Ovis aries: one gene and its partners. The protein of the gene in region 5 interacts with the protein of the main gene of each other region in a pairwise test. Links are inferred from orthologs where the notes say so. Each region holds a gene or a part of one and is shown on either strand. Other genes may lie near its edges.

The links.
Region 1: the proteins of DZIP3 (region 5) and ATXN1 interact in binary tests that used the Homo sapiens proteins (3 or more experiments, as listed by UniProt). The link is inferred for Ovis aries from reciprocal best matches to the Homo sapiens genes DZIP3 and ATXN1.
Region 2: the proteins of DZIP3 (region 5) and ZNF24 interact in binary tests that used the Homo sapiens proteins (3 or more experiments, as listed by UniProt). The link is inferred for Ovis aries from reciprocal best matches to the Homo sapiens genes DZIP3 and ZNF24.
Region 3: the proteins of DZIP3 (region 5) and ZCCHC10 interact in binary tests that used the Homo sapiens proteins (3 or more experiments, as listed by UniProt). The link is inferred for Ovis aries from reciprocal best matches to the Homo sapiens genes DZIP3 and ZCCHC10.
Region 4: the proteins of DZIP3 (region 5) and HNRNPUL1 interact in binary tests that used the Homo sapiens proteins (3 or more experiments, as listed by UniProt). The link is inferred for Ovis aries from reciprocal best matches to the Homo sapiens genes DZIP3 and HNRNPUL1.
Region 6: the proteins of DZIP3 (region 5) and HNRNPF interact in binary tests that used the Homo sapiens proteins (3 or more experiments, as listed by UniProt). The two-hybrid records come from large-scale screens. The link is inferred for Ovis aries from reciprocal best matches to the Homo sapiens genes DZIP3 and HNRNPF.

The regions. Positions count from the first base shown.
Region 1 is NC_056073.1:39,589,443-39,594,421, reverse strand, and holds the start of ATXN1 (ataxin-1), read right to left. Parts: upstream 3,160-4,979; 5' UTR 2,879-3,159; intron 689-2,878; 5' UTR 579-688; intron 1-578. UniProt on the Homo sapiens protein: Chromatin-binding factor that repress Notch signaling in the absence of Notch intracellular domain by acting as a CBF1 corepressor. Binds to the HEY promoter and might assist, along with NCOR2, RBPJ-mediated repression. Binds RNA in vitro.
Region 2 is NC_056076.1:22,075,685-22,080,815, reverse strand, and holds the start of ZNF24 (zinc finger protein 24), read right to left. Parts: upstream 3,048-5,131; 5' UTR 2,265-3,047; intron 1,079-2,264; 5' UTR 1,000-1,078; coding exon 580-999; intron 349-579; coding exon 201-348; intron 1-200. UniProt on the Homo sapiens protein: Transcription factor required for myelination of differentiated oligodendrocytes. Required for the conversion of oligodendrocytes from the premyelinating to the myelinating state.
Region 3 is NC_056058.1:42,240,771-42,245,769, reverse strand, and holds the start of ZCCHC10 (zinc finger CCHC domain-containing protein 10), read left to right. Parts: upstream 1-1,873; 5' UTR 1,874-1,885; coding exon 1,886-1,926; intron 1,927-4,999.
Region 4 is NC_056067.1:50,021,342-50,025,711, reverse strand, and holds part of HNRNPUL1 (heterogeneous nuclear ribonucleoprotein U-like protein 1), read right to left. Parts: intron 1,331-4,370; coding exon 1,162-1,330; intron 573-1,161; coding exon 288-572; intron 1-287.
Region 5 is NC_056054.1:174,360,602-174,365,550, forward strand, and holds the start of DZIP3 (E3 ubiquitin-protein ligase DZIP3), read left to right. Parts: upstream 1-1,614; 5' UTR 1,615-1,781; intron 1,782-4,949. Other genes in the region: protein CIP2A, read right to left, coding at 1,192-1,293. UniProt on the Homo sapiens protein: E3 Ubiquitin ligase proteins mediate ubiquitination and subsequent proteasomal degradation of target proteins.
Region 6 is NC_056078.1:13,134,531-13,138,900, reverse strand, and holds part of HNRNPF (heterogeneous nuclear ribonucleoprotein F), read left to right. Parts: exon of another isoform or gene 1-11; intron 12-355; 5' UTR 356-3,345; coding exon 3,346-4,370.

The DNA of each region.
Region 1 (4,979 bases), on a different chromosome or scaffold from region 5:
CCTCTCAGAATCAGTATATTGATCAGACTTCCAAATACAAGGCTCCAATACTAGGATCATTGAAAATTTGGTTGGGGGTCAGGCAATTGTGTAAATCATCAGCCAAAGTTATTTATAAAGCTAATATTAATATTTTAAATTTGTAAAACAACCGAAATGTAAAGATACAACATATGTTTTATCTGATATCCTTGCCTATCCAAAAAAAAAAAAATCACAGTAAATTTAAATGGTCGGCATTTAATAATTTATATCTTTTCTTAAAAAATTGTTAAAAAGAATTTCCTCCAGGCTAAAGAAAGATCTGCCAAATTTCAACCTGCAGCAGTTTGTTATGGTTGTATAATAAAACCCCCAAAGCTGGTGGAAACACTGACAGTTCTTTAACCATGGTATTATAAGGAGAGTGGTAGCCTATATATATCATTTAAAAATCTGAGCAAACCATAGCGTGCTTACAAAACCAATATGCTTTCCTTAGACTGCACTTCCAAATAAAGCTGAGAGACCAGAAAAGTAAAATAAACTAAAAACAAAAGTGAAAACCACTCACACAATAGACTCTGAGGTCAACTCACCACACCCAAACTGAAGTCACTGGGCTCTGTCCTTGGCATGGAGACTCTTAAAAGACATGCTTCTGAATCAGCTTTCTTGACCCTCCACCAGACTGTAGCAGCACAGGCTTCTGGGTAATGAAAGTGACATCAGCAATGGTCAAGAGTGAAATTAAAATCATTGTGTTTAAACATCTGCTGACAGTTTATGACTTAATAGTACACATATTAGGCAATTTTAAATAAGATTCTGTCTACAGTGAAAACAAAAACAAGTGCTTTAGCATAGGTCTGTACTGTCCAATATGATTGTTAAGCACTTGAGATGGGCTGTAATTGTAAAATATACCTTGGATTTTAAAGACTTAGAACATGTACATACATGCACATATATACACATAAGTTCATATAGTATCTCAATGTTTATATTGATCAAATGTTAAAATGAAAATATTCTACATATATTAGGTTACATAAAAATATTGTTAAAATTAACTTACCTGTTTCTTTTTACATTTTAGTGTGCCTACTATAAGATTTACAATGACATGTGTCCATTATGCTTCTAATGCACAGCACTAGTAAAGTCAGTGGGGCTGGGGAGGTGCAGGAATTAGTTCTAAGAACCATAATTGGAGATCTTATTGCAGTAGTGTAGTAGGTGATTTGGTTACTTTTCTACCTTCCTGAGATTCCCCCCTTGCAGTGTATAACACTGCCCTTGAAAAGTGAGTGTTAGTCACTCAGTCATGTCTGACTCTTTGGGACCCCACGAACTGTAGCCTGCCAGGCTCCCCTGTCCATGGAATTCTCCAGGCAAGAATACTGGAGTGGGTTGCCATTCCCTTCTCCAGAGGATCTTCCTGACCCAGGGATTGAACCCAGGTCTCCTGCATTGTGGGCAGATTCTTTACCAACTGAGTCACCTGGGAAGCCCAACATGCACTTTACCCCTTATTAAAATATCTCTGAGAGTAAGCTGTTGGTAAAGGCATAATCCTGAGATATGCTAGGCTTAAAATTTGTTAGGCTTTATGTTAGACTAAAAATTTGTTAAGAGTCAGTCTCTCAGGGTGGGGTAGGGACAGGCTTCAGATACTTTGCCACCCTGGGAAGCTGATGGAAAACTCGTTCTGTGTTTTAGAAAGCACACGCTTTCTGGAGTGACAGCTGAATGGTTGAGGGTGACATCTTTTAATAAGAAATGGCTTTAGGCCATTTAGGTGTGGATAATGAAAAGTATACAGTTACTGCTTCCCTAGAAAACAAATCAAAGCCAAAAGGAAATCTGTGGGTTTTTTTTTAAACAATTTCTAATATATTTACTACAATAGCATATGTCAAAAGGAAATGAGATGAATTTTAACCATTACCATTTATTTTGCAAGCAAGACCTAGATACATTTTCATCAATATAACTATTATCAACATTGAATGTACTGCAGTGACTTATAAAATAACAGAATTTGTGGTTTTATGCATCTATAGAACATAGCTCTTCTTACATGAAATTGAACAACATTTTAAGGCTCAGAATGAGTGAGTTGAACTTTGCTCAGTATTGGCCAGGAGCATTTGGAAATCTATTAAAAACACGTCATTAACAACTTGGCATTTTGTTTCCTCAAAAGAAATACATTTTCCAAATTAAAACCAAAGCCCAAAGCCACCATTGTTTACACTTAAGATAGAGGCAGTTGATGGGTTGTGAAGGTAAAGCTTGTGGTGCCTTCAAACTAAGATCAGGGACAATGATAGCCATCAAATTGTTATTCTGACTTCAAGACATTAAAATACATAGCTATAAGCTCTCACCGTGCCTTTGTTTTTCTTGAGTCAGTTTTGGCTAGGAAAAGCTGATCCAAATGCAGGTCAGAGTTTAAGACAATTATTTTATGAGGAATTTACCAAGTTTACCCCAAAGAGGAAGAGCCAGAGAAAAATGCATTGGCAAACTTTGCCTTTTGACATAAACAACTAGAGGAAACTGTCCGTGTCAGGATTTCAGCAGGGTTTGTCAGGCAGTTTGTTATTTGCAGAAGCCCTGTGCTTCAGGGCCGCTCCAGAGTTTAACTGCTGGGTAACTTTGGGGAGCTCTCAAGACTGACCACTGAAGATCCAAATTTGCTTTGCGCCCTGGCACTGACATGGAGCGATTGCTCCTGCTATCCATGCTGACCGAGCAGACTAATAGCACTCAGACTTCAACTGTAAATTACAAACAATCCCTTTTTAAGTACAAAAATGAACGCACAGAATGGAGGACCCTGTCAGCTAGAATGCCAGTAAATCAAGCAGAAAAAGACAAACGGTTCACTTACACCACTTACAGCCAGATTCTTGTTCTGCTAGCCATACTGTCATGGGAGAACTTTTCTTTTTCTGTCAGATAAAAAGAGAAATTAATACCCCCATTGTAATTCTAATCAACATGCCAGCCATCAACGGAGGCATCTCCTCTGAAAGCCGATCAAGCTTCAAGGTGATGCTTCCCAACCCCTCCCCCTATCTCTGGTTTAAAACTTGTAGCTGAAATACCAATAGTAAGACCATGTGACCCCAGCACTCCCAGCGCCAGCTTTTCTGCAGTCAATTTCATAATGACTTCGCTCCGCCTCTCAGCTCAGCACTTCCTTCCCCCTCACTCCTCTCGCCCCCACCCCCAGCAATGAATCATCGCGCATTTAAAGAGACTTAGATGACCCAGCGTGAACTTTACTGGCATCCTGTACATTCTTATGCCAAAAAAGGGAGTTGCTCTGTGGCAGAAACCTCGCCAGATCCCAGTGCTGATCTGAGAGGCAGCGAGATTGGGAGCTTATCTAGGAAGATCAGTGAGGAGTTAATTTTCCTAGATCCTGGTGGTGATTCAGAATTGCCTATCTCAGTTCACGATCAGGTTTTTAAGAATCCAGTTGAGCTCTCTGTGCAGAAAGGAATATATCAGAGAAAAAAATGTTGGCACATCTCCTTTATGCAATCAGGGCAGAGGAATTTATACCACATCAGCCTTTTGATTTCTTCGGATCTGGCTGAGGGCGGGGTTTCCATATTTGTGCTTTGGCAAATGTGTCCAAGAACGAACTCCCCCTTAGAGATGCTCCTAGTGTTCTTTCAGGTTACTGTGAGCTGATTTGTGCATTTATCAAAACCAGAAACATCTCTGCCCCTTCCTTTCTTTAATACCATTTCTTAGTAACAGAGATTAAGCAGACAATCTGGGCCTTCCTTACAGAGACTCTTCACCCTACTTAAGGCATAAAGGGTGGATCGCCTAAATAACATTGTGCTTTTCCATATACTTTCTCCCTACCTGGGAAGCCCTTCTTTGCAGGGCAATTTTTATTCCCATCCTCCAGGATCCAACCCAAGCACCAACATTTCTGCGAAGTCTTTCCTGATTATCACAGGAGTTTGTGGTTCTGCCCAATGTGTGAGTCAGCGAAGTGCTATTTTCTTATTCTTTTTATTTATACAATTTTTTTTTAACTCTGACAGAAAAGAAAAAAATCAGGGCCGTAAGCACAGATGGAAAGAGTCTCCTAAATGAGAGCGTCTCTTATCTAATATTTCCTGTTACTCCCAAACCCGTCTGACCTCCACTTACAATTTCACATGTCACTGTTTTCCTTTTATCGCTCCGTTTATGTGGCACCCCTCACTAGTCAGTTCTCCGTGAGAGTTCCCATTGTTGTGGGTTGAATTTTGTTCCCGGAGAGATACATCTAGTCCCCAGTGCAGGGAGTATGGCTTTATTTGGAAATAGAGTCTCTCCACATAGATGGCGCTAGTGATTAAAAAAAAAAAAAAACCCCACCTACAATGCAGAAGACACCAGAGACGCTGGTTCAACCCTCCCTGGGTTGGGAAGATCTGCTGGAGGAGGGTATGGCAACCCACTCCAGTATTCTTGCCTGGAGAATCCCATGGACAGAGGAGTCCATAGGGTCCCAAAGAGTCAGGCACGACTGAAGTGATTTAGCATGCACAGATGTAATTAGTTGAGATAAAGTCTTAATGGATTAGGGTGGACCCTATGTCCAGTATGACTACTGCCCTCCTAAGAACAGGAGTCACAGAAGAGACATGGGGGAGGGGGAGCAGACGACATGAAGACAGAGGCAGTCTTTCCTGCCCTGAGCCAAGGAAAGCCAAGAATGGCCAGCAACCACGGAGAGCTGGAAGAAGCAAGGAAAGATTCTTCCTTAGAGCCTCAGAGGGAGCAGGGCCCTGCTGACACCTTGATGTTAGGCTTCTGGTCTCCAGAATTGTGGGACAATAAATTTCTCTTGTTTGAAGCCACCCAATTTTTTTTTAACCACAGCCCCAGGAAATTCAGACGCCGTTTCTACAAGAGCTATGGCAACAGATGCGTTGCATTCTTCTTTCTTGCCTGTATTTACATGCATGGCCCACTGTCTT
Region 2 (5,131 bases), on a different chromosome or scaffold from region 5:
GTTATGTTGAAGAATAAAAGACTCAAGGTTAGCAAACCAACTGTTATCACATAAGAATAGAAATCCTACAATGTGTCTATGTCTAAGCAATCAGGTGAAGGCGATTATTCTCCCTCCCTGCTCCCAGTAAAAATACGCAGAGTTCTGGACAAAAGATCCACACTCTCACTCTCCAGCCCACACGGAGTTCCGGTCCTCACCACAGTGCCTTAGGGAATGGAGCTCCCAGGATGCCCACTTCAGCTGGTTTTCCACAGCATCAAGCTCAGAACTCGGTAATCCCTGAGCTTCTTCTTGAGATACTATCTCCTCCACTAACACTTCCCGTTTTCGTCGACGAAGAGAAACCTGGAAATGATAGGAATTGGTTCAGTTGAGAAGGAATTTGATGAGAATCAAAACTAAAACACACACCAAAGAAATCATACAAAACATATGCTGCAGAGGCCTAGAGGGCAAAGCAGCATAAATAATGAAGGGGGGGGAGGGGAAGCATAAACATAATTCTAACTTAGTTGAGTGGAACTAATTCAGAAGCTGTGAATACTGCTACGCCAGTACTCCTAACAGGAAACTTACTGGCTGTCCAGGGTCATCTAGTTCACTCTCTAAATCCTCCAGGACCGTCACTGCCTCCTCTCCATTCTCTGGATGATGCTCTCGAACCCAAGTCTGTAGCTCCTTGGGGAGGATGGCAACAAACTGCTCCAGTACAACCAGCTCCAAGATTTGTTCTTTTGTGTGTGTCTCTGGCCTGAGCCACAGACGGCAAAGTTCTCGAAGCTGGCTCACAGCTTCCCGGGGCCCAGGTGAATCCTGGTATCCAAACTGCCTGAACCTCTGGCGGAAAACCTCCGGGTCAGGAAGATGGTTCCAGGGGATACTCGACCCCTCTTCACCATCAGGATCCTCCTCCAACTTCACTCTTAGAATTTTTTCCTCTTCATCTGGAGTTGGGATGATAAGTATTGAATCCTCTTCCACTGACTGTGCAGACATCCTGATTTGTGATACTTCAAGGAAAGACAATCAAGGCAAGATACCTTAGGGAAATACCCAGTTTTCTTCACAGGCACTCCTGAGGCACAAGAAATGAAAAATTTATAAATGACTAAATATTCTAAGAACCTGGACACAGACTGATTAAAGGAAATAAAAATGTGTTCTTTTACTAGATTAAAAATGCCAATCAATAACCTGAACTAGAAGTTTGCAAACTACAGCTCATGACCAAATCTGGCCAGCTGCCCATTTTTGTACAATGCGTATACTAAGAATAGTTTTCACACTTGTACATGGTTGGAAAAAAATCAAAAGAACACTCCATTACATGTGAAAATGACATGAAATTAAATCGTCTGTCTCCATAAATAATTTTACTCATTTGTTCACACTACAATAGCAGAGTTGAGTAGTTGCAATAGGCACTATAGGGCATGAGAAACCTAATATTTACCCTGGTCCTCTAGAGATAAAGTTTGCCAACCTATGAACAAAACCTATTTCAACAATCAAAAGAATCCAAGTTAAGAACCAGCCCTTCTCAGTGTTATCTAAATGCATCTGACCCTTGAACACATTATCTACAATTCAATACTGGTGTTCCTTGACACACTTAGGTCATCTCAAAAGCAGGGACTGCTTTTTTACTATCTGTTAAAAAAAACTTTTTTTCACAAAACGTTTAACAGTTATTTTTTAAATGTTTAAGAACTCCTAGGACTTTAAATACACGTTAAAAAAATTCACTTGGTCAGGAATAGATAATAATGTTGGAAAAAAGGAACCACTATGTGCCATAAAATTTAATTATTTTTCAGTTACCCTCCACACCATAAATACCTTTAAATTAGGAACGACAGGCATTAATCAGCAAATTCTAGGGGGAAAAAAGAACTCTCGTAACACCTTTGTGGTGCAGATTCTTCCGCTGACACTGAATGACTCACAATCTCCCCAGCTACTACGTTCATGGAAACCTTGTGCTATTTCTGATCCTTTCCTTGGTATTTGCACAGTCATGCCCATGCCATTGTCTACAACACCCGTTAAGAATGAGCCACGCAGCTGCTCAATGTACCCATATACGCCCCAGAATACGAAAGCTAATTTCCAAAAACTTCCTGTAACCCTACCAAAACTAGGAATCAGAAAAGATCTTATCAGGTAACATACACACAAGTTTAATTAAATACTCTGGAGTGTGGCGGCCTTATAAACACGTAGCTTTGGCCTACAGATCTGTTTCTATTCCAAGACCCTACCTTTCTACGGCTCAAGCACTCTACAGAAAAGACATTTCTCTTCCTTTTACGTTCTCAAACAGCACTCTGGCGGTGGGATGTGAGGAGTTGCGGGGAGCGCAGGTCCGCGGTCCCGACCGTCTTTGGGCGGAGAGCCCGGTCCCAAGTGACCTCCCCACGCACTCCTGCAGAGTGCCGCTTCGAACCGCGCCCCCACCCCAACGACGTCAGCCCCTTTTCCCTGCACTCGCGGCGGCGGCTTTCCTCAGACCGAATGCCACCCGGCCACAACAGCAAACGAGCCGCGGCACTTCCGCCCGCGGCCAGCTGAACTACAAGTCCCAGCAGGCCCCGCGCGAGGCCCGCCCACTCCCACCTCCGCCCGAGAAGAATCCCAGAATTCTCCGCGAGATGCCAGGGCCTCGAAATAGAACAAAACCGGCCGATGGGGGAGGGGAAGTCGGGGGTCGCGAAGGACACAAGGGATGGAGGACTCTTCGAGGGTGCTGAAAGCCCGATCTGGCTTTTCGTCTTCCCTTGCCCGTCCCACAAGTGCCGGGCACGGAGACCGCGGCCTGTCCCCCACGCCTCTGGGAGAAGCCGAGGAAGGTTCCCGCCAGGCTTCTTCGCTGACTCTTGTCAAGCAGTCTGCAGCCCCCAGGCCAGCGTCTCTCACACCCTTCCCCCCAACTCGCGCAAACCTCGGGCTCGGGAACCACAGCCGCTTCGCTGTCCTCGGCCGACGCAGAAACGCCGCTCACGAGCCGTTTCCCAGCAGCCCCCGGCGCGGACTGCTTCCGGTCTGTGGGCCCCAGGAGGCGGGGGGGAGGCGAAGCCCCACGTTGCCATGGAGATGTGCTCTGGGCCGGGGGAAGGGCTGTCCAACGACAATGACTGCTTTGAGGCTGCGCTTGGCCTCGCGCCTTCCTCCCCCGGTATCGCAGCCTTCTGGGTTCCGCTTGAAAGACAAGGAAAAGAAAGAATTCTGCCACTAAGACAGTCTTTACGGTTTCATAAGCCTTTTCACATGCATTATCTCATGTGATCGTCACAGTAGTTCTCTGAAAGAAGTATTATGAATATTTATGAATGTTAATTACTTTGTACCAGGCACTGTCACCGTGCTTTACATGTAATTTCATTTTCACAACAACGCTGAGATAGTAAGTACTTTTGTTATTCCCATTTCACAGCTGAGATCACTGAGGCACAAGTAAATAGCTTGCGGAGTGCTCATAACTGGTGAGTGGGAAACAAGATTTGAAACCAAGGCATGACTCTCACCTTTGCCTCCTACTTGCTATGCCATACAACTTTATTATGACCAGTTTACTTGTCAGGGAAACAAGATGAGACTCTTAACCAAGAGCTTTGGCAGTGAGCTCACACTGAATTTGCAGAATGCGTGGTCATTTTCTGACTTGAGGCTTGACAGTTTATATTACAAAGCAGCTGCCAAAGTGATCGTTTAAAAACAGAAATCAGACAACTTAATTCCCCTATGTAAAGACGTTTAATGGATCCCTAACTGCCTTACTCCTGCTTGTGCTCAGTTGCTCATTGTGTTTGCCACCCTATGGACTGTATCCGGCCAAGCTGCTCTGTCCTTGGGATTTTTCAGGTAAAATACTGGAGTGGGTTGCCATTTCCTCCTTCAGGGGAATCTTCCCCTACTGTCTTAATTATGACATAAAAATTCCTTACATTTTCCTGTAAGGCCCCACTAGTCTGTTCCCTGCCCCCACCCCCACTCTCCAGCTCTATAGGCTCATTGTGGTCTGGATCCTCAGCCTTCCTGACCACCTTTCCTCCTGGAAGCCTCCCCTCTCTCATAGCACTGGGTAGAAGCGATCTCATTTATTCACTTCTCTATTTTTTTGTTTGTTTGTTTTGCTTTTGTCCATAAGACCCATAGAGGCAGAGACTGTGCCTGCCTTATTCACCACAGTATCTCCACATAGTAATCCCAGGATATTGACTGCCTGCTACACGGTGGTTGGTCAGTTGCCAAGTCTGGTCTGACTGTGAGCCCATGAACTGCAGCACCCCGGCTCCTCTGTCCTTCACTGTCTCCTGGAGTTTGCTCAGATTCATGCCCATTGAGTCAGTGACGCCATCCAACCATCTCATCCTCCGTCACCCCCTTCTCTTTTTGCCTTCAATCTTTCCCAGCATCAGGGTCTTTTCCAATGAGTTAGCTCTTCGAATCAGGTGGCCAAAGTATTGGAGCCTCAGCTTAGTGTCAGTCCTTCCAGAGGATATTCAGAGTTGATTTCCTTAAGGAATGACTAGAGAACTCGGTAAATATTTGTTGAATAAATGAATAAAGTGTGGGCTGCTCAGATTGCTGCTTTTGCTAAGTCACATGTCAGGCCTAAGAAACCACAAAGAAAGAGCCCTGTTGTTTAAGGTCTGTGTTAGAAGTGCAGGTCCAGCCTTTCAGAAGCATTCCAAGATCCTCAGGCTTCAGCTTTCTGCCTCTTTGGGAAAGTTCCCTTTGCAAAGAGCCCTCAGTCTGCTGGACTGGTGAATGAGAAAGCTCACGAGTTAGCAGCTGATGGTATAGCACTCCTCTACTCTGACTGGAGCTTTGCCCCTCCAAACCCCTGCTACTTCTGATGACTCGTCTCTCTTCGTTTAGGAAGTTTCTGAAATCTTTACTTTTTTCTTTCATACTTGGCTATTGCCACCAACCTACTTGGCTGCTCTTCCCAACTGTTCTCTCTTTGGTGACTCTAAAAAGCTAGCTCATGTTATTTTTCAGAGACAAACCAAAATTTAATTTCTCAAGGTTCATGCTGTGTACTTTAGCAGAATTTGATGGAGGATCTTGTATATACATTTGTAATAGATAAAAAATAAACCAGATTGAAAATCCTTTTTCTTTC
Region 3 (4,999 bases), on a different chromosome or scaffold from region 5:
TCCATGTGTACAAAGATTTTGTTCAGTGGTCTGCCTTCAGTTCTTAAAACGTTTTAGGTGTTCAAGAAATATTAATTGAAAAAAAGAATGGAAACTTAGAAACACACACACACACATATATATATTGAAAAGTTATATATGGGAACGTCCATGTTGGTCCAGTGGTTAAGAATCTGGATTTCAATGCAGGGGACTCAGATTTGATCCTTAGTTGGAGAACTAAGTTGGGATCCTTAGTTGGCGATCCAACCAGTCCATCCTAAAGGAAATCAGACCTGAATATTCATTGGAAGGACTGATGCTGAAGCTGAAACTCCAATACTTTGGCCACCTGATGTGAAGAACTGACTCATTTGAAAGACCCTGATGCTGGGAAAGATTGAAGGCAGGAGGAGAAGGGGACGACAGAGGATGAGATGGTTGGATGGCATCACTGACTCAATGGACATGAGCTTGAGTAAACTCCAGGAGTTGGTGATGGACAGCGAGGCCTGATGTGCTGCAGTCCATGGGGTTGCAAAGAGTCAGACATGATTGAGCGACTGAACTGAACTGAACAGAGGAACTAAGATCCTACATGCCTGGAAGCAACTAAGTCAGAACTTTGCAACTATTGAGCCCTAGTGCTGCAACTAGAGAGTCCATGTACTGCCACGAAAGATCCTACATGATGCAACTATCACCCAATGCAGTCTAATTAATTAATTGAAAAGGTATGTATGTTTCAAACATCATGCATTTAAGGGAATACATTTCCATGATCTGATACTAAATGCTAAAATATCCTTAAATAATTAATATTTGTATAATTTTTTTCTAGTTGACAAAGCAGTTTTACCTGTATAACCTTCTAACATCACTATTAATAAAAATATGATTATGTATGTAACATAAGTAATTAACATATATGTACACTTCATAGTTTGCTAAAGTCACTCTTTTTAATCATTGTATTTCTTTAGTTTTGTCTGTGCTGGATCTTCATTGCCGTGCATGAGCTTTCTCTCCTTGCAGCGAGCAGGGGCTTCTCTTGTTGCGGGGCACAGGCTCTACGGCACTCGGGCTTCAGCAGTAGGGGCAAACAGTCTCCATAGTTGCAGCTCCTAGGTTCTAGAGCACAGGCTCAATAGTTGCAGCACATGGGCTTAGCTGCTCTGCCGTCTGTGGAATCTTCTCCCATCAGGGATCAAACACGTGTCTCCTGCCTTGGCATGTGGATTCTTTACCACTGAGCCACCAGGGAAGCCCCAGCCTTTTTCAACTGATAGTCAATCTTGTTCAAATTATTACTTTAAACTTTGCTATCCAGACTACTTCTGGTTTCTGAAAACTACAGTGGGGCTTCCCTGGTGATTCAGACTGTAAAGAATCTGCCTGTAATAACGGAGACCTGGGTTTGATCCCTGGGTTGGGAAGATCCCCTGGAGAAGGGAATGATTACCTAGTCCAGGATTCTTGCCTGGAGAATTTCATGAACAGAGGAGCCTGGTGGGCTACAATTCATAAGGTCCCAAAAGAGTCAGACGCGACTAAGCAATTAACTTTATTCGTTCATGTATATAAAAATGGATTTGTATATAAAGATGGATAGATAGATCCCTCATTCTACAATGTTCTTCCCAGCTTCTCCAAGCAATATAAGTGGACTCGTCCTTCAGAACCCTTGTTCAGATTAGTCAGTTGGCCTCATTCCTCTCCCTCCGACTATAGACTATGCAGGTAACACAACACACCAGGCCCCAACCCACTATTGCCCGAAAAGCAGCGCCAGAGCCTAGCCAGGACCACTGGCTCCGCCCACGCCTACGCCCTTCAGGGTTCGAAGTCCCCGCCCACTTCGAGGAGTTTCCCAAAACCCAGCGCGGCCGTCGCCAGCCGCGCTAAGATGGCGACTCCCATGCATCGTCTCATAGCCCGGAGACAAGCGTAAGTTAGGACCGGAGTTGGGCGGCGGGGCGGGCTGGGGGCGGAGAGAAGCGCGTCAGCGGGCTATTGAGCGGTGCCGGGAAGCGGGGTTGGTGTCGGATCCTCAGCTTGGCCTGGCGGAGGGTGGCCGTTTTTCTTACACGTCGCCTGCCCACAAGGGGCTCGGGCCGGAGCGAGAAGTTTGATGTCTGTGCACTAGCGATTTCGTGGAAGACGGCTGCGTAAGGCCACTGGGCGGGACCTAGGGGTGACTGAAGAGAGTCTCGCGTTTGGTTCCCGCGAAGGGGACGTCCAGGAATTGGTTACTAAGTGATTTATGCCGATTTGCCCAACCCAGCCGGTGGGCAGCGGTGGGCGCACCCCAGAGTGACCAGGCGAAGCTTGTAGCCCGCATCCAACACCCCTTATTCTCGCCGACGTAAACCTTCAGCTTCCTGTTCAACCTCCAGGCCAGCTGGCTTTTCCTGCCCCATTGTAATCGCCTTACCTAGGAACAGCCTGACTTTTCTCCCAAGCTATCTTCTCACATTCTGCCATTCATTCTCTAAGAGATACTTTGGGTGTAAGAAAATGTTCAAGACAGAATATTTGCTTTCAGGAAGCTTACATTCTGTTGGTGGAAAGAGTCAATAAACTAAACATTTTAAGTAAATGCAGTTGGATAGTAAGAGCTTTGAAGGAAATGAGATGGTGGAAAAAGAGAACGGTCCAGGTTAGGTTGGTTGGACTGGAAAGGCATCTCTGAAGAGGTGGGGTTTGAACAGAGATGGAAAGTGTGAGAAAGGAGTCAGTCGTGAGAGGATTGGGGGAAAGAGCATCCAGAACAGCATAATTAATTTGAGACAGGAGAGAACTTAGTTTCTAAGAACTGAAAGATGTCCATTGTGGCGGCTAATGAGCGAGAGAAAGGCACGAGAGTGTGAACAGATAATGCAGGAGTTCGTGTCATATGCCCCTTTCTTGTACAGCCTTTTTTTTTCTTCTACCAATCTGCACACCCAACCAACATTCACCACTTATTCACTCTCAGCTTTTCATGCCATCACTGTTTGCCTGTTTATAATACATCACTTAGTCTGCTGCAGTGTGTATATTTGTATTCCTTTTTGTATTTATAGTTTTTTTTTTTTTTAGTTTTTTTTATTCTAAGAGTCCTGATCCTTTTCTTCAATCTTTGATCAGACTCTGCCCCTCATGCTGGATGAAAAGAGTTCCTTGATCATAAAGATAAAGACTTACAGAATCAGAGTGAAGTAGTAGTATGCTTGGTGGAGGAAGAAGGCTTTTCCAAGATGGTTCTGAGATCTAGAATGAAGTAACAGTTCTACTTAAATAGATATCCACTTAAATGGTGTTACCAGGGTCTAATGTCTCTCAGATTTGCTCTTTTGGATGTTGGTTCCATACTTGGATAGATCACTCCTTTGGTCCTAAAATGGCTGCAGTATCTAGAGTCCTTTGTATCCTGTCAGCTTCAAGCTGATAGCATCTCATTGTCTAGACTGGATTACATGCCCTACCCTAAACCATGTCTGTGGGAATATGAAGTTCTGATTAATTTGGATCTCATTCTCTTCCCTTGTGGCTCAGCTGGTAAAGAATCCGCCTGCAACACAGGAGACCCCAGTTCGATTCCTGGGTTCAGAAGATCCCCTGGAGAAGGGAAAGGCTACCCACTCCAGTATTTTGGCCTGGAGAATTCCATGGACTGTATAGTCTATGGGGTCCCAAGGAGTGGGACACGATTGAGACACTTTCACTTTCATTTTCTCTTCCCAGCATAATTGAATGGGTCTTTATAAACAGTGGGTGGATAGGTCAGAGGACGTGATGATGGCTAGATTGACTAAATCAAACAGTGTCCACTTTTGAAAGTAAAACTTTTAATGCTTTTAGCATAAGTTTTAGAGTATCACAGAGTTAAACAAATGTTCCATTTCTTCAGTATGCTTGTATTCAGTACATGAGCTACCTAGGAGTAAAAAACAAAGCTTTAGGAGCTTCTGGTCTCAACTGGGAGGAAAACATGGTGTGTAACAAAACCTGTCATGGTTTAAAGGCTGTCAGGACAACTCCCAGGGAGTTGGAGACCGAGGGCCATTAGAGGCAAGGAAAGTGCAGGAAAATTTGGGGAATATTTTGGGATAGAAAGTAAAAGAGGAGCTTTTGCTTTTTATTTTATATTCATCAAAATGATTTGTTTATAAAGAGCAGATAGCGCTTCCATAAGAACAATTTTTAAGCTACAAGTTATGAGAAGTGAGAAAGTACTATTGACATTGTTTTTAAAAGTTTTTGGACCAAAGGAGGAAAGGGGGAAAATTTGAATTTCCCATTCAGCAGATCTTTTAGGAACTTAACTCTGAATCAGATTTAACTCAAACACAATTGTATGCAGAATGACAAGAGGAGAACTGATGCCCAGGAGACTAGAGGAGTGGGTATTAGAGCCCTAAGCCACTCTGAATGTGTTTAAGGCACTTGACCCAGGTGATTTCGTCCCCAACATAACAGAAAATTTCCAAGTGAAATGGCTGTAGCTGCTGGTAATCTGAGGACTTCTGGCCAACAGGAGTGACGCTAAAGGACTAGAAGTAGGCAAATGTTTTGATTTTCAAAGTGAGAAGGGTAGATTCCACAAACTAGACTTGTGAATTTGATATCCATTCCAGGCAAAATTCTGGCTGGATATATTAAATCTGTTCAGAAGTAAAAGCCAAGTTCATCAGGTATCAAATCATTACAGATTGATACCCTTATTGCCTTTTTTAAGTATTTGGATTTCAATGCGGCATCTTGGAAAGTCTCTCACAGTATCCTTGTGAACAAAGCAGAACTATTAGGTACATTAGTTGAAGATCATGAACTGAGAGTATTGTTTAACGGGTTTAAGTAAATGTACATGGTGGCCTCAGTGTGGTACTGTTTGATCTTGTCAACAATTTTTATAAATGACTTGGATGAAGACACATGTGCATGTTTATCAAACCTGCAGTTAACACAAAGTTAAGAAGGGTGACTAATACAATGGATAACAAGATCCCAATCCAGAAAGGTCTTGACAGATGAACTC
Region 4 (4,370 bases), on a different chromosome or scaffold from region 5:
GCCCTTCTTCTCAAGGAGCTCATGGTCAGATGAGGGGTAGGAAAGACTCACAAAAATAATAGCAATGTGACACACAAATGGGCAAGGCCTTCAGGGGTAATGCTGGTGGGGGGTGGGGAGGGAAGAGATGACAGTGGGAGTTTCCCTGAGGCCCCAGACTTTATCTCAGTTCTCTACTAGGGCTCAGCCAACAGCTGGTGCCAAGGAAATGTCATCTGCTGACTGAGGAAACAGTCAACCCTGACCCCGGAACCACAAGCAGGAGAGTTCAGTGTGAGATGTCTCACCTCCTCGGTAGTTGCCTCCTCCACCGCTGCCTCCTCCTCGATTTTGGAAGCCTCCTCGGTTGCCCCCTGGGGGACCTCGGTTGTCATAGCGCTGGAAACCACCGCCACCCCCGCGGCCCCGGAAGCCACCCCCGCCGCGGTTGTCAAAGCGCTTTTCAGGTGGTGGTCCAGCCCTGCGGCCCTCCTCGTTGTACTGCCTCACCAGCTTGTCTGCTTCCTCTCGCTGCAGCTCAATGAACAGCACCTCGTCCAGGAAGTCCCCAACGTCAGGCAACGTGAAGTTGGCTAGGAGGAAGGGAGGGTGCCAGAAGGAGAGGAAAGGCGGTCAGCACCTTCCGAGGGTTAGTCTCCTTCACCCCCAGGACACTGGTCTGCCAGAAGGGAGGACGAGTAGGGGACCGCAGTGTGAGCAACAGAGGAGAGAGGGTCCCAAGCTCTGCCTACAATCAACAATCAGGGGCTAACAATGACCCTCTTCTCCTTTTTCTGAAGAGGTGACTAAATTCTACCAAACCGATGTTTGATACCCCAGGAACAAGCCAGTCAAGGAGAATCACCATCCTTGTTTATTATGGAGATGCCTCACTGAGGCTTGCTCAGCCAGCCCACCCAGTGGGTGCCAGGGGCAGAAGGCCACGCAGGTCTCCCACACCCTGCCCCGGCCCCATCTAATCTGAAAAGCCTGCCCCACCGGGGTATGGGCGGCTCTTTCAGTCACAGCGGTACTACACAGGCAAGGAACAAAGCAGAAGCAAAGAAAGAACAAATTCAAAAAAAGAATACTCAAGCAGCTGGGTCGGGAAAAACGGGGTAAGACACTTTTCCCCTTAAGGGCCTTGCCATGATGCCCCCCTGGGAATCACTCATCTCCTACCTTTCATTTCTAAGACCGCGTGATCTGGGACATCCTTCCCTTCTTCGTCAGTTCGTTTTATTGTTCGGTCTTTCAGGTCCTCATCAGTGGGACAAATTACAATGGCTTTGCGCTGGAAGCCTTCAAATGGTCTCATTTTTCGTCTCTGGGCTGACCCATAAACATTTGTCTAGGGGTAGGTATCAGAAGAGGCAAGAGGTGGCACATTACAAGTCGGTTTTTCCTCTGCAGGGTATTATGTGGGCCAAGGAGTGAGAAAAGGATACCAGTTCTCCTAAGCAGAGAAACTCAGGAAACTGCTCCTTCTTCACTTCTAAGATTCTTCAATCTACCCTCAGAAAACGAAGTGACTTGGGAAAGTGGCTGCTGACAGTCACAGGACAGGAGATTCCTAATGTCTGAGCTTTGCTTTTTAATCCTATTTGTTCTTGGTATTGTACATTACAGCTCTCTTGGCCCCTATTCTAAAAGTAGCATATGCTTACTGTAAAAAAAATCCAGAGTACAAGGTGTATAGAGTAGGAAGCCCTTCATCCACCTACTGCTGCTGTTCCTACTTCCCAGAGATAAAACCTGCATTGAATTTCTTATGTATTTTTAGAAGTATCTGTGTGAGTCTTAAAACCAATGGAATCAAACAACACACACTCTTTGGAAGCCTTTTTTTCACTCAACATTTATCATTTTTCTGTGCTGGTGCTCTCCCTTTTTTTGGCCACGCTGTGCAGCTTGCATGATCTTAGTTCTCCAACCAGGGACTGAACCCTGGCCCTAGGAACCAAAAATGCCAAGTCCTAACCATTGACCGCCAGGGAATTCCCTGGTGTTCTCCTTTATTATTTGTAGAACAGATGCCATGATTAACCAGTCCCTTTGACAGCTGTGTAGATCATTTTCATCAACACTGTTTATTCTATCCCCTTAGTCCTGCTCTGAAACACCAGCTGCACCCACAGGCTTCTAAATTAGGGTGCTTGGCAAGCCAACAGCTTGTGCTGTTTGGAAGTGCAGTTTTGCTAGTAACTTCCTCTTTGCTTCTTCTAGATGGTTAGGTGCATCCTGGCCTGGTGCTGGCAGAGAGTGATACTCTAGGACACACCTGACTGAGAGCACAACAGCTCCCATTCACTGCGTACCTCCCGCGTGCTGGGCCCTTTGGGACTGGGGCCCAGATCTATCAAACCCCAGTGGTCCAAGGACTCAGCCTATGCACCTGAATCACTTGGACACGACTGAAAAAGACAGCAGCTGGAACCCCCCTACAGGGGTCTTCCTCAACCCCCGTCTCTGAAGTGGAGCCCAGACACACATACGGGTGTCCTTTTCACATTCTGACACACAAAAGAACTGGAGTGATAAGGAATGCTGCATTTAAACAACTTTCAGTGGCCCTGAAAGGTAATCAGGGGAGAAGCCACAGCGGGGAACAAATCTGTAAAGAGGCCTGCATGTACCAACAGACAAACAAATATTATGTTTTGAAGATGCAGCCTAGTGGGGTGGAAAAAGCCCAGCATCGAGTTCCAGTGTGGCTACTCGCTCACCACAGCCAGTCCGTGTTGTTGCTTCATCCATGAAATGCGGGAGAAAAGCCTCTCTCCTGGACTTGGTGAAGACTGACCGGAAAAAGGGCCACAAAGCAACTGACCATGTGTGAGGGATCCCTGGAGTAGGGGCTCCGTTGTGGCCTCCAGGATGGAAGCTGCCCAGAGAGAGACCAGTGGTGCAGGGCAGAGGCTTCGCACACCCCAGATCTAAGGTGACCTGGTTAAGTCACACCACAGGGCCCGGAGTGAGTGACTTCCTCTCAGAGCCTCAGTCTATCTACTAAGTCTCAAACCCTGAAAGGGGGAAATAAGAGGAAAGTCATATGGTCACTACAAAGACTGAAGGAGCTCAGGCGAGTAAAGCCCTTGCTTAGTCCAGGGTCTGGCTCACAGCCGACACTCAGCAAACAGAGGTCATGGTTGGTGAGATGGCTGATGGCTGGTGGCCATCACTGGATGGCTGCACTGGCTCTTCTCACGGTATGGCTGAGTTCAAGCAACCTGGACCAGGTGAAAGTCCAGCTACGGTGATTCCCATCAGGAGGACAAAGTCAGCGTAGAAATCTAGACTCTGGGGAAGAGGCTCGAGGTTGAAATCGCAGCTGTGCCCTCTATTTGTGAGGATGTAGACAAGCCACCTAATTAGTCTGAGTCTCAAATTTCTGCATCTGAAAGACGGAGATCCTACCACCCTCCCCCTGGCTCTGGTGGGGATTTGCAGATGTGGAAATGTCTGGCAGGGAAAGAAGTCTGAAATTGGGGCCAGCAGGACTGACGGTGTCCTGGGAGAGGCTTCCCAGTAGGGAGCATCAGGGAAAGTTAAGTTTGAGGAGAAGATGAAACACAAGAGAGCCTATTCCAAAAACACGAGGAACAGAAGCTGGGATGTGGGTCAGCCAGAGGCCAGGGACCGCAGTGCACACCTGTTGGGAGATCTGGTCAGTGGGTATTCTCTAAACCAACTCGACCCCGTGGCTCTGACACACACAGCAGTTAGAGGGTCTTCCTTGTTTCCCAGGGAAAATGTCTCAACCTTCATTGGGGGTGGAGGTGAAGGCATACACATGCAGTCATCTGTGCCTTTAGCCACACAAACGGTGAAAAAGTACACTGGTTACAAAGGAAAAGTCAAGTCCTTCTCCTCGCTGCTCTTCCCAGGCTCCATTCCTAGAAGCGAATCAGGTGGCATCTGGTCATAGGAAGATAGAATTTGATTTCCAGCTAAATAAAGAAGCTTCCTCCTGGCACACAACCCAGATGAGCCAGGAGTGAGTGTGGCCCCAGACATTCTGTGGACAACTGATGAACAGTGGACAACTCATTCCACTGTTTGCTTGCCCATAAGAAATGATCAGTGATCCTATCTGATTCCTCTGAACCTCAAGGACGTGGATAAATGCCTCTTGGGGGTTTTCTATGAAGCAGACCCGCCCTGTCCATGTCCTGATGAGAAGACAGAGAGGAGAAGCATTGCTGTCCAGAGGGACCAGTCCCCATAGCTTCTTGATGGGAAGTATGGGGAAGAGCAGACGGAACTCCTCAACAGCTGGCCTCTATCCTGGGAAGTGGCTAGACACCAAGGGATGGCTCCTCAGATACTTCAGAGCTGAGGTGCTGAGAACCCTCATGGTGACGATTTAGAGACTGCACCTCCCTCCCCTC
Region 5 (4,949 bases):
TTTCTTTGAAATCTCTTTCAATAGTTGATAACACTCTGTTCAGATTCATAACATAACTGTTTATTCTCAAAAATAAATAATGTTTCAGATTACAATCTAAAATTCTTAACTTAATTCTTAAAGAAAACAAGTATTCTTAGGAGACAGGCAGCTCAAGTAGTAAGAAGAGGAGCACCAGAGAACCTTGAGAGTTGTACACCAGTTAGAACAAAGGCTGATGTTGCTGGGCCATTCACAATAGCCTTCTTTGTAGCAGTTTCTAATCTTTGCAAATTTAGCCTTTTATCATAGGGTTAATACAACAAATGGGATATATTTTAAAATTATGTTCAATTCTATGTTGAGAAGCTGCAACACAGAATTAGGAGTAACTGAGCTTAATTACTTTTTATGAAACTGATGTCAATATTAACTGGATTTCCATTAAAGTATAACAAATGACAGCCGGAGTTTAAGAGTCTAAAAACAAACAGGATCACAGAAAGCTGTGATTTTATCTCTTAACACAAAATAAGCACATCTAGAGGAAGTAACGGGAAAAGTGACAACAATTCAGCGTTTTAGGACTGAAAAACTGTGAGCAATACATTCTGGTACAGAAAAAAGGTTTATGGTTACTAGTAAAGAAGATTGGTCCTCAATCCAGAGTAAATTGAAATAATAATTTTCAAGCTAAAAATTTTCAATAATTTTCAAGATCAACAGGAGTTCAAATTAAAGCAATAAGCAACAGGTTCAGATTGCAAATTGCCTAAGGGACAAGACATAAATCAAATTTTAATCCTTATTCTCTAGCATCTCCACCTCCGAGAATTGCTGTACCTCTGAAAAGGCCTGTTACAATGGAAAAACGAAAATAAGAAGCAAAGGAAAAGATACAGCTCGGAGCTCTTTCCTCTAACAACTCCAAACACGCTGAAATCCCCCACCTTTTGTCTCACCCTCCCTCTTCCTAGGGCTTTCAGTACTCTTTCCTCACTGCAGTCAGCTGAACGCGGAGAGGCTTGGGGTTGGGTGGGAATTCAAAGGTGACAATCACTCGCTTTCTATAGCAATACAAAAAGACAGCGGAGGGAGCGAGGAGTTGCCCTTTGTTTTCGAAGCTGAGACCGCTACCATCTCGGATACCAAGTGAACGAAAGCTACAAGGGAAGTCCGTCTCGTCCGCCACCCCCGTAGTCCCTTACTTACCTCCAAGTGCCGCAAAAGCTGAGCGGTGTTTGCCTCGGATTTAACGGCTTTATACTGACTAATGGTCAGAAGCAAAGACTTCAAGCAGGCGGTGGAGTCCATCCGGACCCGCCGTAGGGCGCTTGGAGCGGGTACCACCACCGTCCTCCAGCTTTTACCGCGCTTTTTTTGATTTTTCTTCTCCACCCCCTCGCTCCCGGAAGCTTCCGATTCCGGTTGAGCTCCGGAAGTCCCTTGGCAACTTGAGGAAGGCACCCTACGAAGGAAAGGGAGGGCTGGGACGGAGTGATGGAGGTGGGGGATGTCGAGGCCCAGTATGAGTCCGTGAGGCAGGCTAGTAGTTGTCCTTTTAGACCCCCGATCTGAAAAGCCGCGAGGTTTTAGTTCGAGATCCCGTGAAGCTGAGAAATCTCGCGAGAAGTCAATTGCGGCTCCACTGGCGTAGGGGGCGGTTGGGTAGCAGGGGGTCCCTATTCGTCTGTGGGCCCTGTTTGCGTTTACTTCCTTGGCCTTGACCGTGGGTGGCCAGTTTTTTCTTTGTGCGTCATCCTCTACCTGAGAAATGGTCGCTTTCCCCTAGTCTAGACACGGTGAGGAGCTCTGAGGAGGAGACTCTTGGGTTCTAGATTTTGAGGCGGCCCGGGAGAGGCCTGTTTTTAAAATCGCTTGTTTGTCCACCGCTTCTACTGAGGAATGTTTGTTTCTCAGAGTAAACCTGTGGCCGTTCGGATTCGGTGGCAAGTTAGTCATGCGCTTATGATAGTCGTTGTCAATTTATTTGAGAAAGCTGGCCCAGGTGAATCCTGTGCCAGGTGTTGCTCCGAAGGCTGTTCTTATTAGCGTCAGTTTTGTAAGTGAAGGTGTCTGCTTTTATTTGACGTGATTGATTGCTTTATAAATCTTGGTGTCTAAGGAAATGGCACTGTTTGTGGTTTTTGTTCAGAAATAGTATTATGCATGTGAATATCATGAAATGAGTCAGACTGGTTCTGGAGCTTTTTTGCTTAATGTATGCTATTGAATGAAGCTTTAAAAGCCAGTTTGGAGAAAACTGTAAGAACTGGGTATATATCCTTTTTATTAAACCATTTGTCAGAAATTGTGTTTTGTCAATTCAAAGAAAGCCTATTTTGCGTCACTACATTTTTAAAGACGAATTATTTTTATATTAAAAAGCAATTTCATTCTGAAAGGTTAAAAAATTGAGGCATAAATCATTGGGTAATTAATGTGTTTATGTATTTATTCATTCTGTAAACAATTATCGAGTGTATAAAGTAGGCTAATCCTGCTAGTTAGGGACCCTGCTGGGAAGGAATTAAATGTACTGGATAATAGTACATACAAAATTCACCAATTAGAGGCATCATCCGGTTATGGTAACGAGTGGAGCTAGGCTGTTTGCTTACAAATCCTAGGTCTACCTTTTGCGATGTGACCGTAGGCACATTCTCACTGTTGCGATCTCATCTTGAAGTAAAATCTGACTAACAGTAGCACCTATTTCGTAAGATTGCTCATTTAATAACTAGCTGGAGCCTACAGTGTGCTAGGCATTGGTCTAAGCACTAGATTCGGTTAATAAAAATCCTATTGTTATGAAACAAAAATCCTACCATTACATTCTGATGGGAAAAACAGTAAATAATAAGCACAGTAAGGAAAGGGAGATGGAGGAAAAGAGAATTACTCTTCTAGATTAATGGTTTAAAAAAGAGAAATGGGAGGTCAGGATAGAGAAAGCTCTTTTGAAAAATACTTGAAGAATCGAAAAAGACCTGTGCTTTCTAAGGGGAAACATTTCTAGATAGAATAGCAAGGGGAAAAGCTTTGAAATGGAGCCTGATAATATAAGGAAGGTTATATTATCAAGCCAAGCAAGGACCTTGCTATGGCTGGAGTAGAAAGCGAGGGTGAGAGAGAGTAGTAGAGATGAAGTCATGTCAGGTTATTAGAAAATGAGCTAACCAATGAGGAACAGTTGTCTGGCATAATTATGTTCTCAGCAAGTGTCAGTTACATCTTAGGTCCTTGGCAATACAGTGATAACAGTTTGACAGCATTAGACTTTTCATTCATAATGATAAGTGCCTCACCATTGTCCCCATTTAGATCTGAGGGAAAGGGTCAAAGCTGTTTGTTCAAAGTGCTATCCTTTGAAAGCTTGCATTTTAGCTTGAGGAGTCACACACATTTTGCATCTCCATATTTATTTTAATGTAAAATAACATCTTTCTAAGAAAATCTTCACCAAAAATTGAGCTGTAAAAAGGTCTGATGTCTTTTGTCAGAGATACTTGTGTATCCCAATATGAGAAACAGAGCCATATTTTTAAGACCCAAAAAGGGGAAAAGGAGGAGGAGGAAATGGAGCTGGGTCCAGATGACTGAAGGCTGTACTAGCCTTTGAGCTGGGACTCTATCTTGAATTAAGTGATGATCTCTGGTTTCAAACTGGGTCCTGCAAGTTAGGTTTATGTTTTAGATTGATTACTCTGACACTCTGAGGAAGATAAGCCCAGAAGTAGGGAGAATATTTATTTTACTGGAGTCTTTCCAAGGGATGGCTGAGATAATTGAAGTGGAGTTAGCAAAAAGGTGACAAATTTAAGAAATATATATGAAGTGAAATAGGACTCTGAATGATTTCAAATGGACGAATGAGAGGGATGAAACTAGAAGGGATTCCAAGTTTCTAGTCAGGCTGATAGAGAAGATATAGAAACTGCTGAGGTAGTCAATATTTTAAGTATTCACGTATTTTATGTTCGGTGAAATATTGTATAGCTTATCATGTAGTCTTGTACCATTCTCATTAAACTTATTCCTGGATCTTATATAATTTTTGTTACTGTGAGTGGGTTCTCTTTTTCCCCTAAAAATTTTTAGTTTGTTTTTGCTACTGGTAAAAGAGAAACTGATTTGTGGTATATCTTTTACTCAGTTTAGTGACTGAAATATCCTTATTGATTCAGTTTTGCTTCCTCTCTTAAATTTTCTAGCTATGTATCACCTGAAAATAATAATTGAATCCCTTCCAATATTTGTTGTCTTACTTTATTTCATCAGTGTAATTTCTAAAATATGGAATAATCATAATGATACTGAACATTGTTACTTCATTGAATGAGAATGACCAGTATTTTAATGCTTTGTATAATTTGTGCAACAGTTGCCAAGAGATAAGTATTCTTTAAAATGTTTAGGCAATACCAGTGTTATTTAAAGAATGTCTGCTAAAAAGTTATCAAATATTTATATATCTTATTTTTCCCTTTAAAATGGTAGCGCAGCTGATTGAACATTTATCATATGCCAACCACTGTTTTAAGAACTTAGCTAATTGATCTTTATAATATCATGCTTTACGTACTGTTATGATCTCTGTTATGATCAGATGGAAAAATTTGAGAGAGGTGAAATAATTTGCATAAGATCACACAAGTAGTAGTAGCGAACTTTGTATTTGTTGTGCTGCAGATATTTTATTCAGGGTTTTATATTTATTTTTGGGAGAATTTAAGATAGCTTTTTCTTTATTCTCTCTTTTGGAATTTGGGTTGTTTCTTTTGAAAAACGAATTGGAAATTTTCCATCTGTTTTTCTTTGCTGTAGATTAATGAGAGTCACATAGGAATCATCTGATTCTTGTAGATTATGTACAACTAACCTATAAAATCAAGTGCGATAGCTCATTTAGTGGTAGATTTTAGAAGACATTTGAATTTATAATATGGTTATTGATCTGATAATTTTTT
Region 6 (4,370 bases), on a different chromosome or scaffold from region 5:
CCGCCCAGGAGGTGCGCCTCCCACTCTAGATATTTAAATTTTCTTAACCACGGTTAGGGTTTTCTGTAGGGAACGCGCCTTCTGAGTAAATCTTTTCAGGGCAAGTGGGATGGTTCCAGGCTGTTATTATCTGTATTACCCTATGAAAAAGATAAACCTTTCCAAAGCTGGTGGGGTGGGGCGGGAGTGTACTTTCTTTAAGGCAACCTGGCGCTTAAAAACGGCTTGCCACAGCCTCGGCTCTCACTTTACTGGAGAGGAGCTCAGAGCCGGTCCCAGCCAGGGGATTGCTGCCTCTGCTTGCTCCGGGAGTGCTGGGGCATTAAGATAAAATTTCCTTGTCGCTCTTTTTTAGGACGATTCGTTACCTACCTGGAGTGTCTTCGACTGTGGGCATCCCCCGGTGTTCTTTAAGGTGAGCTATTTTAAGAAAATCTCTCAGTTTATAATTCATTTCTTGATGCAGAAAACTTCCTGAGTTAAGATTTTTTTTTCACTAGCTGTAAATCTAACGTTGAGCAGAAAGCCAGCTCTTATTTTCACAAGTTTTATTTAATATTCTAAGTACTGAAAGTCTGCGAAGAATCCAAATCTAGAGGATTCTGAGGTCAACAGTAAGGATATTGCTCTATGTATTAGAAGTACATATGTGTTTTGGAAAAGTGCTTTTTTTGCTTTATAATTTCTGTTTTGGGCACTTTAAATAATTCTTAAATATTTGTTCTTTTATGCTTCCTGTCTTCCCCTCCCCCCTTCTGCTTGTCTTTTTTAACCTAACCAGACTGCCATATTCTAGAAGGTAGTGTTGGCCCCACGTGGCCATCAGTTAATCTCTTGCTAATCTTGGGCCTGCTGTGCTGGGGGTGGGACTACAGTGACCTACTGAACAGATAAGTCTGTTGCTACTAGCCTCTCAACGCAGTTGCAAAGAGTTTTAAACAAATTATGAATTGTTTCCCTAGAATGCTCTGGGATCATAGAACTATAGATTTAATTTGCGGGGGGTGGAGGGGGGAGAAAGTCTTGTGGAAAAGTTAAATTTAAGCTGAGAGTATAAGGATTAGTGGGATTTAGCTAGACAGAAGATTGGGTGGGCTATCTTCAGACAGATAATTACTACATGTGTCAATTCCAGTGGAACAGAGAGCCTGCCACATTTCCGGCACAGAAATACAGGAATAAAGGTTTGTTTGCTTTCTAATGCAAGTGTGTTTCAGGTCAAAGTTTCAAGGCCTGAGCACCCCCTTGGCCCTATGATTTGTGTTCCAGACAGTGGGGAGCCACTGAGGTGTTGAAACAGTAGAATGACATAAAATTACACTCAAGAGAGCTACAGATTGGGCTGGTAGGAAGGACTGGAAAAGTTGTAGATGTGAATGTCTTGGAAAGGGCTTGTTGGTACTGGAAGTAGAAAGGGATGAAGGTGATGCACAGAGATGATGATGATTTGATATTCAAGCAGTATGCTAAGGACCAAGATAGGAGAAATCTCTATACTTGCTGGAGTCAAGAATTACTGAATAGAATTTAGGCATGGATTAGGAGTAGGATTAGGGTGGAGAATGGGATCACCCCCCACAAGGAAATAATGAGCTCATTAGATTTAAGGGCTTGCAAGTTGTTCAGAGATTGCTTCAGTTTCATTCTAGAGCCTTTGGATGGCAAGTAAGGCCATTTATGCTTCAGGATACTATAGAAGAGTTTCAGAAAAAAGTGGTGTTGATTTGTGGTACATAGGTTGAACTATGGAATGGAGTTTGTCTAGGCCAGTCTTGGCCTCGGGGAAATCTTAAGTCTAGGAACCTGTGTGTCCTGAGCCCAGAATTGACGCTGGAAATACAAGGATCAGGTGAGGTTACCTGCAAAAATGGGGCCAGTGATTGTGTATGGTTAAACCTTGGTGAAGGACTCAAAGAGGCAGAGTACCTAAGGAATTAACAGGAAAACCAAGAGCCAAGAGGAGAAAGGATTTCCAGCGAGAATGGTTAAATCCTGTGGGCACAGAAGAGATGGAGATAAGAAAATGTTTCTTTTCTTGCCATGGAGATCCTTGGCAGAGTGACATGTGCCCTAGTTTAATGGTAGGGTAGGGAAGGACGTGTAAGAAGCCTTTTTGAGGATGAGATTTCACTGAAAGGGAAAGCAAAGCCAAGTAGCTGGAGGCAAGTTGGTATAAGGAAAGATAGTATCCTAGGGGGTGATTAGAAATGAGAAAATCTCCTTAATTGATAAGGAAAGTAGTGTTCAGTGAAGTTTGTATGAAGATGGAGATTCCTTGGGGTGGGTGGAGTTGACCAGGGCAGAGCCACAGATAAGAGCTCAGCTACAGAAGAAGCAACTCCCTTGTTTATAAATTTCTAGAACTTGCTCTGATTTGCTTCACCAGGTCTCTGTTAAACCAGTTTTCTTTTCTTTTTCTTACCATTCATGCTTTCTGGTTTTGTGGGGTTTTTAGAAATCTGTCCATGTTTTGCTCTAATAGTGTAAATATGTCATGCCATTTGAGATAGTTTTAGGATTCATCTGAGGTAAGATTCTGTTTCATCTTTCTGCGTGATAATGTGCCTAGATTTTTTTGAAAAGGCACCTTTTACCACTGACTTAATAGCTACATCTGTTATACTTGATATCAAATGGCAATTCGATAAAACAACTTTTGTATACTTGTGCCTGTTCTGAATATATTTTTGGCCTTATCTGTATTTTTATTGTCTGTGTTATTCGTATATTGGTGTCTGACTCAGCTCCTGCTTTTCAAAATGCTGCCCTTCGACATGGATTTGACCTTTACTCTTTTTTCAGCTTGGACTCTGGGTGTCAGATGCCACTTATACTTCATGGCACTTTGTCAGGAGGGGCACCTGTCATGCCTCTTGTACAATGAAGAGTCTATTCCATTTCTAGTCCCTCAGTGAAACACAGCGATGTATGTGTTGCATTGAACAACGTAATGTGTTTTATTTTGTTTTTTGGGGGGGGGGTCATGCTGTGCTGCTTATGGCACTAGGGATTGAACCCAGGCCATGGCAGTGTGAAACTGAGAGGCATATAGTTTGATTTCTATGTTTGCATCTCATATAACTGATACTCTGCTGATGGACTTACGTGTTTGTTTGGATATGTCTTAATTTTACCATGCGCTTGATTGGGGTTTTGAGTAGACAATAGGACTTCTCACCTACTGTCTTGCCTTTTACTTTAGTGATTGCAGTAATGCAGTCTGTTTTCCTTTAGTTTCATATTCTTGTTAAACATATTAAATGAAAATTTATGTAGTCTTTGCTTTCTTTTCAGCCACACAAAGCTGCACCCGGGCTTGTTTGACGTCTGCTCTGTCGAGTGTCCATGATGTTGGGCCCTGAGGGAGGTGAAGGCTTTGTGGTCAAGCTCCGTGGCCTGCCCTGGTCCTGCTCTGTTGAGGATGTGCAGAATTTCCTCTCCGACTGCACGATCCATGACGGGGTCGCAGGTGTTCATTTTATCTACACTAGAGAAGGCAGGCAGAGTGGTGAGGCTTTTGTTGAACTTGAATCAGAAGATGATGTAAAATTGGCCCTTAAAAAAGACAGGGAAAGCATGGGACATCGGTACATTGAAGTGTTCAAGTCCCACAGAACCGAGATGGATTGGGTGTTGAAGCACAGTGGTCCAAACAGTGCTGACACTGCCAACGATGGTTTCGTGCGACTTCGAGGACTCCCGTTTGGATGCACCAAGGAAGAGATCATTCAGTTCTTCTCAGGGTTGGAAATCGTGCCAAACGGGATCACATTGCCTGTGGACCCCGAGGGCAAGATTACAGGGGAAGCCTTTGTGCAGTTTGCCTCACAGGAGTTAGCAGAGAAGGCTCTAGGGAAGCACAAGGAGAGAATAGGGCACAGGTATATTGAGGTGTTCAAGAGCAGTCAGGAAGAAGTTAGGTCATACTCGGATCCCCCACTGAAGTTCATGTCAGTGCAGCGGCCAGGGCCCTATGACCGCCCTGGCACAGCCAGGAGGTATATTGGCATCGTCAAGCAGGCAGGCCTGGAGAGGATGAGGTCTGGTGCCTACAGTGCAGGCTATGGGGGTTATGAGGAGTACAGCGGCCTCAGTGATGGCTATGGCTTCACCACCGACCTGTTTGGGAGAGACCTCAGTTACTGTCTCTCCGGAATGTACGACCACCGGTATGGAGATGGAGAGTTCACTGTCCAGAGCACCACTGGACACTGCGTCCACATGAGAGGTCTGCCCTACAAAGCCACAGAGAACGACATTTACAACTTCTTCTCCCCGCTCAACCCTGTGAGAGTCCACATCGAGATTGGCCCTGATGGAAGAGTGACCGGCGAAGCTGATGTTGAATTTGCCACTCATGAAGAAGCCGT